2 linked regions of the Caenorhabditis elegans genome follow. The protein of the gene in region 2 interacts with the protein of the main gene of each other region in a pairwise test. Each region holds a gene or a part of one and is shown on either strand. Other genes may lie near its edges. The genes, in order: sdz-12 and mdt-27.

Evidence for each region.
Region 1: the proteins of mdt-27 (region 2) and sdz-12 interact in a two-hybrid assay, tested with the Caenorhabditis elegans proteins (one large-scale study listed by BioGRID).

The regions. Positions count from the first base shown.
Region 1 is NC_003280.10:3,729,555-3,733,874, forward strand, and holds sdz-12 (Zinc finger protein sdz-12), read right to left. Parts: upstream 2,270-4,320; 5' UTR 1,995-2,269; coding exon 1,878-1,994; intron 1,755-1,877; coding exon 1,698-1,754; intron 1,634-1,697; coding exon 1,493-1,633; intron 1,437-1,492; coding exon 1,218-1,436; intron 1,175-1,217; coding exon 995-1,174; intron 928-994; coding exon 829-927; intron 778-828; coding exon 598-777; downstream 1-597. Other genes in the region: bath-31 (BTB domain-containing protein), read left to right, coding at 2,472-2,584, 2,630-3,165, 3,210-3,361, 3,404-3,523. UniProt on the Caenorhabditis elegans protein: Together with ehn-3, may play a role in gonadogenesis.
Region 2 is NC_003283.11:9,208,822-9,215,725, forward strand, and holds mdt-27 (MeDiaTor), read right to left. Parts: upstream 4,834-6,904; 5' UTR 4,831-4,833; coding exon 4,780-4,830; intron 4,586-4,779; coding exon 4,526-4,585; intron 3,523-4,525; coding exon 3,025-3,522; intron 2,417-3,024; coding exon 2,336-2,416; intron 2,292-2,335; coding exon 2,061-2,291; intron 1,956-2,060; coding exon 1,732-1,955; intron 1,125-1,731; coding exon 1,044-1,124; intron 980-1,043; coding exon 883-979; 3' UTR 642-882; downstream 1-641. Other genes in the region: pacs-1 (Phosphofurin acidic cluster sorting protein 2), read right to left, coding at 5,313-5,431, 5,481-6,212, 6,261-6,448, 6,499-6,809, 6,854-6,904.

The sequences.
Region 1 (4,320 bases), on a different chromosome or scaffold from region 2:
TTAGATAGAGATAGATAGATTATGATGCCAAACGCTATCTATTAAGCACTAACGTCTTCGTAAGAAGACAGCCCAAGTCCACATTTGGTGTTCCGTATGTGATTGCTCAGAGATTTCTGAGAATGTAATTACTTGAACTGTTGCACCTTGCGCAATTCCTGAAAAAAAATGGATCCTTTATTAATTAATTTGTGAAAATTTTACAGTACCTGAGAATAAACTGGCACAAGAGCTTGAGCTTCAGGCAGGTCCATTGATAAGAGAGTAGAGGTGAAGGAATAAATGAACCCGCGCAGAGTGTTTTGGTGGGGCGCAATTATCGATTTGGCGCGCGGTATTGGCAGAGAGCAAATGGGAAGGAGAGTGAAGAAGATGTAGATAGAAAAAGAAACTATGCGTAGTTTGATCTACCAGTCCTGTATTCTGAAGACCAACTAATTGTTTGATTACTCCATAAAATCAGTGATCACGATAGAATAGGGTACTGTAGGTTACCGTAGTTATCAACAATTATCAGTTTCCTTCAAGGGCGAGAACGAGATTCATTGAGTACTTTTAACAAGAAAAAATATTAATTAAGCAGTAGAATCTTATCAATTAAGTTCCTATGCCACCAAAATCATGACTCGCAGTGATGATGTGCATGGTGAACACGATCTTATTTCCACATTCTGCTCCACAAATTGCACATTTGAATGGGCTTCCTGGCGCGTGAAGGGCGTTATGCATGATGCTCATTGTGGCATCGTGGAACTTGATCGTGCAGTGCTTGCATTCCTGAAGAGCTTTTGAGTTGATGAAAGTGTACTTTGAAACTTAAGAACTTACAAAGCTTGGGGTTGGCTCACTGGTAATTAGATTTCTAAACCTTGGCTCATTGGGGCTTAGAGTTGGTGAGAGCTGTTGATCAGTGTTTGGAAGAGTTGCCTGAAAATTTCAAGTCTAATGGTTTCAAAGAACGGCACCAAAACCAATATTGAAAATGAAAACATACCGAGTTCTGTTCACAGAATTCTTCGATCATCGGGGAAGTTCCTAGATTTATGCTCAATTTTTGAGGCGGCTTCTCTTGTGGCGAGATTGCCAACTGAGCTCTGGGACTTCCTGAAGTTGATACGGTGATAGGTGACAGTCTGGCGGAGCTTGTGGGAGCAGGAGCCGAAGAGCGCAGAGCCTGAAAGGATTGTTAAGTCTTAAAGAATTATAAAGCTTTTCACCTCTTTATGATCAAAATGGTAGTGTACCAGGAGATGCCTAGGACTCCCGAATAACTTGTGGCATTTTCCACACGGAGCCGATTCGCTGTATGAAAAGTGGTGATGGTTTACGAGATGATTTTCAACGCCCTCATAGAATACGAACTGCATTGAACAGTTCAACACGGGACAGTCGAAATGTGATCTTTCCTTGAGATGGTTGTGCAGGTGCCTTTGAAGCTGAAAATTACAAATTGCTGGAATTGAACAGGAAAAATGGAATAAAATCTGCTTGCCTGATCTTCCCTGAAGAATGTTCTCTGGCAAGTGCTGCACTTCTTGGATTTTGAACCAGAGTGAGTTATTTGATGACGCTTCAAGTTTGGCTTGTTGGTGAATTGTTTCTCACAATTTTCACATCTGAATTTGTGATTGACCTGAAAAAACGTATAGTTGGAGGAGGAGAAGCTCAGTGGCTTAAACATTTTCTCAAAAACTCACCACATTGGAACGTCCAGGCCTACACGTAATGTGCTTCATGTGCGTTCTCAGCGTTTTCTGAAAAATGGTAGTGAGCTCTATATACTAACTAGCAAAAAAAGGAAGATTATCTGCTGTACAGTAAATTTTGTAAAATTAAGATAAATTAACAACACTTTTTTGCTCACTTCAAAAACTAACCTGATTCGCGAACTTTCTTTTGCAAACTTGACACTGGGGCACCTTAGCAGAATCCTGATCCAAAGTGGAAGAGGTTGCAATAAGCGACAATACGGCGTCTAGTGATGACAAACTCATTTTCACAGAAGAAATCTCTGCGGATTGTCCGAGGGCAGGGAGGAAGGGGAGTGAGAAATGTTTTTGCGTAGTTGCAAAAAGAGGTACATAAGTTCAAAGACTGTGTCCTCGAAAGCTGTGAGAAGTTGCGTCACATATGACGTTGGGGCTTTTGGAGAAGCGGGGCCGACGAATTTATGAAATGTGTGTAATTGCACATTGTAGAGCTGATTGAGTTTTTCAGTATCTCAGTTTTTTCAGTAATTTCTCCATTGACGATGCACCTTCTTTGGGGGGAATATTGTAATCTTTAACAAAATTCACAACATTTTTGGAAGACCAGCTGCCAACTGTGCCAAATTTGCCGGGAAACGAGACGCTGCATTATGCATTATTTTATCGATCCACTAAGATTATCTCCTAGCGTTATTCACTCATAATCTGCCTCTACAAGTCTTCCTATTCGTCATTTTTCTGCAATTTAGTAGGTTAGTAGACATGCTCGTTATAACAAAGGAATTTGTGTCAACTTACACTATTAAAGCAATCTCCAACTTCAAGCCGGATACCACTTATTGCAGCGAGGTTAAAGAATATTACTATATTCCATGGTATTTTTAACTTTCCTTTTTTTATTTAAATTTTTATATTTCCAGGAAACTCCATGTCAATCGAAGAACTGATCAACTTGAGGTGTATCTTAGTTGCGACCAACTTGGCACAATTTGGTCAGTTCAGGCGAATGTTGAAGTGAAGCTTAGATCTCCCAATGAATCTCCCCACTGCAAAACAGCCACTGTAAATTTCAATAGTGAGAAGCCGAAGGAAAACTCATGGGGATGGAAGCAGTTTGCCGATTGGGAGAAAGTCGCAAAAAACTTTGTGATTGAAGATGCGCTACACTTTAAAGTTCATGTTCAAATATTGAACGCTTCTGGGTTCAAGGGAAGAGATCCGGTTTTGAAGTTCGACAATGAGTCTATGGGAGAGCTGTCCGATGTGGTTTTGGTAGTGGATGAGCAGAGATTTCATGTTCTGAGAAAGCATCTCGCTCTGCAGTGCTCCTACTTCAAATCCTTGTTCTTTGGCAGTTTCGGCGAGTCGAAGAAATCAGAGGTTACCCTCTCTGGGATAGACCCGGAAGCCTTCCAGGCATTTTTGGAAGTTCTCTATTTGGAGGACTCGATTGATGGTTAGTTTTTAGTGCTCACATTGGTAATAATTTAAAAATTTCAGACAATACCGTCGAAGGAATCCTTCAACTTGCTGACATGTACGATTCTAGAGCGGTTATTGGGAAATGCGAGAAATTTCTTTACAAGGAGTCCGAGAAGTCCGGGAAAAAGAAATTGGAATTGGCAATTAGATACAAGTTGGAGAAACTAGAGGTAAGTGCGTGCACCTGAATATAACCTTATTTTATCTTCCAGATTCACTGCTGCAACACCATCAAAACCATCCAAGATGTCCGCTCAATTATCGCTGGAAACATTGATGAAATGAGCCCATTCCTGATGAAGCGGGTCTTGAAGCGAGTTCTTGAAGTTTAAAAATTGTTCGTTTTCAAATATGAATTGCATTTTTCTAATAACTGATTTTTGGCCACTATTTTTTCTCTGTTTTCAATTGTAAAGTTTTATTTGCCAGTACAAAAAATAAATTTACGTTTTCTTTATATTATATTGATGAGAAAATTTGAAGACTTACAGAAGAAATTCAAATCATGAACCAGACCAAACCAGAAAAAGTCAAGTCAAGAATTCAAGAAACTTTTATCTAGCATTTCATAAAGTATTTTGATAAGACATATACATAGTTATATTTTGTGGAGTTTAAAAATATAGTTTTGAAAAGTGAAGTTCAAAAACATAGAAAAATAAGAAGTTAGAGGTTTCGAAAATAAGCTTAATTCGAAAGACTCGAAAAAAATCTCAAAAACTGGAAAAAATTGAAGATTTCAATCGTCGGACGGTGTTTGACAGTAACTCGTCGTCGTCGTCGTAAATAGAAGTAGTGTTGATTAGAAAAAACGATGGAATAAAGAAATCAGAACCTCCAAATAGAAAAAGTTCCATGAATGTTTTTAATTCGATAGGCACGCATGCCATGAACATCAGATTCCTCGGCTGAATTAGGCATTAGTAGCTCTGGGCTAGAGTGGGGATAATCATTGTAAATGTAGAAAATGAAAAGTTCAAGGTCTGGATTCAAAGCCTTTAACCCAGAGCTTGATCAATAATTTCAAATTGGAATTGGATAACGGGGTAGCATGGAGTGAAATCACTGGATTGTTCATCAATAGTAGGTCGTTAAGAGTCACAGAGAAGAAGATCGCAAGGTTAGAAAC
Region 2 (6,904 bases):
GCTAACACCTCTGCATATGCTATTCTATAATTACTACTTTTGAAATAAGATTTCAAATTAAAATATAAACTTATCATTATCATTATCAGAATTACAGAAAATTCGAATTTCGTGAAAAAAAAACAAAAGCAGAACGAGATAAATCAAAACAATGTTCGAAAACTGCTCTATCTGCCGAAAGGACCCAGTGGCTTGAAACGTAACTAGAGCCTACGGGTTGACGAAAGATAACATATTTTGAGGAGACGCAGAGAATCAGGGGTCTCTCCAATATATATTCTGTGAAAACAGCCGGAGAGAACACGGAGGGAGCAGAGATATGTGGTGGTGGTGGAGACGTACATCATTTGGAATAAACGACGTCTTCGACCTTGTTTGCATGAGTTTCCTATATTTTCGTACTTTCTATTTGATAACAAGCAAACATGGCTCTTCAATAGAAAAACCTCGTCATTCGAAACATTTTCAATATTTGAAAGGCTAACAGGAAAAAACGACGAAGATGAAATGAAATAAAAACGGAATGCTTCAACATGTGTCCCGACATGCACTGTCCCAGTCGACACAACAGATTGAAACAAAAGGAGAAAGAGCAAACAAGTTGTGCTCCTGCAAAATACATTTTTTCAATTGAGATGAATGGTCTGTATGATTTTATTGAACACATCAAAAAGCATTGAAAGAGACAAGGTGATGATGGTGAAGATCTGGCAAGAGACAAAAAAAACTAGGAATACTCTCGTAAAAGTGGGGAAAAATTCAAGAAAGTGGAAACAGTGGGGCCGTAGAAATGAAACAAGTTAAAGCGACACGCATGGAGCAAAAAGAATCTAACAAGTGTACTGAACTATGGAAATAAATTAATATTTTCAACAAAAAAAGCTAAGGGACCTGTGACATCAAACATAATTTATGGCAAATGATTGGAGACGATTCTCTCGTGACAACGGTTGGAGGCATAAACTGTCGCAGATGCTTTCTGAAAAAAAAAACTATTATTTTCAAAAAAACATGATTTATATTTAAAAAAAAATAAAACTTACTTGCAATAATAGCATTTAGTTGAGAAACAGTTCACATAAGACTGAATGTAATTGTTGCATTGGGCGAAGTTTGTGGGTGCACTGAAAATTAATCCAATAAATAAGAAAATTACCTTTTTTAAAAAAATAAATTTCGAGTTTTTTTCTAATTAAAAGATGATTTGGCATCGTTTTTTTGGCGAATAATAGTTTTTTTTTACTAAAAAATTACATCCAAAAATAAATTTCTATTAACAATAATGGAAAAATCTTAAAAGAAATTATTTAAAAAAAATGTTTTTCGAATTTGACAAAAATTTTTTTTATGTGGCTAATAAAAAAATGTAATGTGGTATTTTAGGAGAATTTCGAATCCACTTTAGATAGTTTTTAAAGATATAGATTTTTTATGCATTACACATATTTTATGCGAGCCAACCTTTCTTTATTTAAAATTCAAGAAATTTTTTGGAAATTGGCTTGTAATTTGTAAAACCGTTTTTTTTTAATATCTAAAATGGATTTCAAGCTTTTTTTAAAAATGTACTAGGCGCACAAAATTCATTTCCAAATATGTAGAAAATTGGGAATGTCTCGAAATTTCTCTAAACGAAAAAATGCTTAATATACAAATATTTTTCTATAAAGATTTCCAGTAATTCATGTTTTTTTAATTTTACATAATTTCGTTTAAAAATTTAAAACTTACGTAAACTTTGTAACTGGCGAGCAAAGTATAATCTCTTTGGCCGATTTTGTGAATTCTCTGTAGACTTTCCGTTTCGAATGTAGAATTTGTTCTTGATTGTATAAATCTTCATCTTCGCCTCCAATAATCATATCTTCGAGAATTCCATATTTGAGTACAATAACAGCTTTCATACACGGAACGAATTCTTTTTCACTATTTGGGCGCCGAGCACAGTAGTGAACCTGAATTAAAGCCATTTTACATTGGGAAACGGGAGTTGGTTTCGGGAATAAAGATTTTTGAAAAAGGTTTATATTTTTCTAAATTAGACTGGAAGAAAAACTCACTTCAATGAGACTTTTTGAATTCCTAAAACATGGATGACTGATTCTTTTGAATCTCCATGTCAAATCACCCCTCGTTTTATTCATAACAGCATCCATTGCTAAGAAAACTCCTTTATTCGCATCTTCAACGTGTTTCGAGAATTTCAAAGGTGGTGGGACAGATAATCTTGAGACTCTCGGAGCATGAACAGCGTTTTGACGAAATGTTTCTGACACAGCGATAATGTTTTTCTGAAATTAGAATGTAACGAATTCAGAGTATTTCCAAATATTACCTCAATAACTGTCCTCTCGTCCATTGCCTCTTGTAATTTGTAGAATAATTGATAAGCACTTTCATCTTTCTGTCTGAGATCCTGAAATTAAATATTTAAAGTTCCAAGTTGGCAAACGGTTTTTTTAAATAATTTATTCTCATTTAAAATGATGTCTTCGCAGAAAGAGTTAAAAATGAAAGAAAACAGTCTCCGTATAGTGAATATATTTGTTAAACAAATTATAGAATTTTTCTAAATTGTTGTAGAATTTGAAACATCGTTTGTCACATTTTCAGGGACTTTTCCACAATAAACGTTAAATTATCTATCTTTATACCAAAATTAGAGATTCAACAAATTTCTTGTTTTCTCAAGTTTTCCTTACTGTAAAATGTCTGAAAATTTGACAAAAATGTTTCAAATCACATCTTTAAAAAAAACGAATAAAAAACTAATCAATATATCCGGAAAATGCAAAAAAATCTGCTTTAAGTTATTCCGCTGAATTCTAAAATTCATCAGCTTATTTCAATTTTTTCGTTGAAAAAAAATTAGAACTTAACAATGTTATATTACTACATTGAGACTGTTTTTTTTTCCGTCACTTGTGTTAGGACAAAAAAAAAAGCTTAAAAAACTATAAATTATGACTTTTGAACTAAGAATCTTAATCATTAATCATTAAACTAAATTAATCAAAAACTCACTTGTATTGATGATTCAACAGCTTTATATAGAGGCCTTTTGTCAAATACAGCATTATATCGACATTTGAGTGCTGCTGCTCTATTCAATTCATAATACATATTTCCCATTTCTGATAATGCTTCTCTTGCTCTTGATAAATCTTCCATTGTCGAATGCTCTTTCATCGATTCGTCTAATGCTTTTTTCGACTTTTGACGCATTTTCTCCAATTTACTCTTCATCACTTCTGCCCATTGATTTAACGCAATTACGTGCTTCTCCGTTGTATTTGATGGAAGTGTTAAAATCGGTCGTCCAGCTGCCGGATTCCCTGCAGTTGAAGGTCGGTTAGCAGTGTTTCCAGATTGAAGAACAGGCATCGATTGAGAGTGAGGAATATTACCCGAAGAGATACGTGCTCCCGATGGTCCTGAAGCATTTGCAGATGTGGTCGGTTGCTGATTGGATTGCATGGCTGCCGGACGAAGTGGTCTCAAAATCCGGGCTCGACCGTCTATCTAAAAAATTTTCCGATTTATATTAATTAGTGCTGAATGAAATTGACAATTTTTTTCAAAATAAAGAAAACGGTGTATTATCTAAATTTTGAGATTGTGATTGAAATTAAAAGATAAATCAACACAATAAATAAAAAAGTTTAACTGAATTTTAATTGTTTTAAATAAAATTATGAAAAGAAAAAACAATAATATTTAATTTAAATGATCTATCTAACTGAAAACTAAATAGAAAAATGTTATCGATCAAATAGAAATATACATTAACTGTGAAAACACCATTTTCTGCAATAGGCAATATACGGTGTCTGCGTCTCTCACTTCTTCATTGCTGGTATACACTTTTCCAACGCTTCCCTACAACTGCATTAGTCTTGTTTTCAATAGAGCGCGTTTGATGAACTACTTCAGAGTGAGGGGATCGCAAATGACTTAATTTTGGTATAAACAAAATTCCAATGTTTATAAAAGCGATAAACAGCACGTGCCAAGATTTAAATAGTTACTTGAACTAATTTAGAATATCTTGTTTTTTTTTTTCAATTTTCAATCGAAATGAGGTAAATTAGTATAAAGAAAAATTGCTAAGAAGCACTAATCGAGATTTTTACAAAAAATCGATATGAATTAATTTGAAAATCTTGAAGCATGTTTTATTTTTGAAAAAAAATCTGCGCATTTCTCAAAGTTGTTTCAATGTTTGTGGAAAAAAGGGATCTTCAAGTTTTAGATGTAAAAACAAATCTTTTTTCTCACTTGGGTATAAACTTTTTTGTGGTTTTTAGTAAATTTCTACTAGCATCGTAACTTTAAACAATTCTATCACAAATTGTACTAGTTTTTAATTGTATTTTTTCCGACACTTTTCACAAATAGTGTTATTAAAGGGATCAACGTTTCCTATAATATAAAGTTTTAATTTATTTTTAGCAGCTAAATTTTGTCATTTATTATTATTATTTAAGTTGATTTTAAGAAAAAAATGACATTGACACAAACTTACTTTGCTAACAAGGGGCGGCCTTCGTCCAAAAGGAGTATCTGGGAATCTTCCATTTGCAGCCTGAACATTTTGAAAAATAAGGATTTTGAATCTGCGTGTTTCGAGTAATTTTTTCAAGCTAAACATATGCCGCAGTTTCCCCTGCCGAAAAAGATAATTGAGATCAAAATTTGTTTCAATATTCAGCTACCGTGGGGGCCAGTGAATTGTTAATTTTTTTTAATTATAAAAAAATTAAATGACAAAAACTATACCGTATTTCCGAACGAATTTTCGCTTTTTATCCGGATTGTATTGTCTCCCATTATCTGAACTCGCCAATTTTTTAAAACAATTTTTTTTTCAACAAAATAATGACTTGGCCCGGGGGAACAAAAAAAAACAACACTGAAACATATATTTTTTAATTATATAAAATTAATCAAAAGCTTTTATTTAAAAATCGAATGAACGATGAGTTGAAATTCGGAATGTAAAAACATAAAAAATAAAGCGTTTGTTGGTGCGATGCACATGTTTCAAGGTGAAAAATTGGCGGAAAAGCATATTTCAAGGGCATCATCGGACAAGAAAACGAGAGAAAACGGAACCGTGTGGGGGAAGGTGTACAAATATTTTAACATAGAGAATAGCAACAAAAAAGAAATAGATTAATATTCGACACTTTGGGAACACTTACATATTATACAGGCAAATCAATAGAAGCGAGATTGAGGTGTAAATTATGAAACAGAGATGATAAAAAGAAATTGGAAGACATGAGTAGATACACTCAAAATGTAAACGATCAAGCTGTGCAGACATTCGGAGTGAAGAAAGCAATTGGGAAGGATTTGATATGCGTCTGCCATTGTGGAGATGTTTGAAAGTATCTGATGCCATTGTAAGCATTTCCATCGATGATAACTGAAAATAAATCTGCTTATTTTACAGCTCAAAACAAAAAAAAACGAACCAGTCAATTCATTGTGCTTTCCGGTAGCACTGCAAAGCATTCTTCCAATAGAAGATACTTGAGATGGAGCAGCTCCTTCCTCTGGTTTCTGCTTTTGTCCTTTCTTCATTCCCAGTTTTTGTAGCATTTTGTCTTTCCTTTTTTCTTTTAAATAGGTAAGACTCAATGAACCAGAACTTGGAGATCTCGACACAAGCAGTGTTTTGAAATGAGCTTTAATTGTGACCTTGGCTGTATCTTTTTTAGAATTCGGAGTTGTATTCGAAGATGATGGAGGGAAATCAGAGCCGTACGAGTATTGTGATGATTGCGGAACGGGATTATTCGGCCAGAAATCCATATTAAGTTCTTGGCCATCGACGTTTCGAAGTTGTGGAGAATGAGGTGGAGACGATCCATCAGTTTTCGATATAACCGACTCTTCTCGTGGAGAAATTACAGTTTGTGCGAATCCATTGAGTCCATTTGAGTCATCATCATTTTCAATTTCACACTGTTGACTTCCGACACGAACTTCACTGAGGAAAGGTAAAAACACACGTCCACCTTCAGGATCGCGATCAGCAGTCAATTGAAGCATAGCTTCGCCTATTGGCATATTCATCTTTGACGAGCTGACACTATTTGGCCAAGCAGCAATTTTATTAGCCAATGAAGTTTTTTCTGGCAATGTCATGTCTCCAAAACGATCCCAGAGATCTCTGCATAAATTGTCGAGTTGTGGATCGATCCCTGGAAATAACAAGCAATATATTAGAATAAAAGAAAATTTGAAAATACCTTCGATCATCTTATAAAATAGAGAGCTCGTCGACGGGATGGCCACGAATCGGAGATGATTGACGAGATTGGCGAGCGATTTATGGGCCAGACACTCCACATAAGCTTTAACGACTTGTGAGAAGAGTTTGTCAGTTCCGATGATTCCAACGATTGTCAACGGAGGATTTGATGAGTTGGAGTGGCAGCTGGAATTATAAGCTCATATTATAGAATGAAATGAGAAAGAAACACTCACAAATTTTGAATACGATTTATAACATGGCTCAGCGTCTGTCTAACTTGCGAAAATGAAGGGCAGTTTACAATAGGTACTGGACCACCCAGTATCGAATATGCAGGCCATTCTGATAAATTACACAACCAAACAGCATCACTTCCTTCAGGAGACATGCTCGATCCAAGAATGGAGCATAATTGTTCTGACAAGCTCACTCCTCGATGAACTCCGTGATCATTTTTTATTGAATTGAGAGTCGAGGAATGTGGCATCGAATGTGAATCAAATGATGATGATACAACGCGTATTCCGGCAGAACGCACAGGTGTCTGAAAAATGTTATTAAAAATGAAATCAGTTAAATAACAATTACCTGAACTGAATAGTCTGGATGACCGGAACCAATCGAATCCTTCTGAATTAA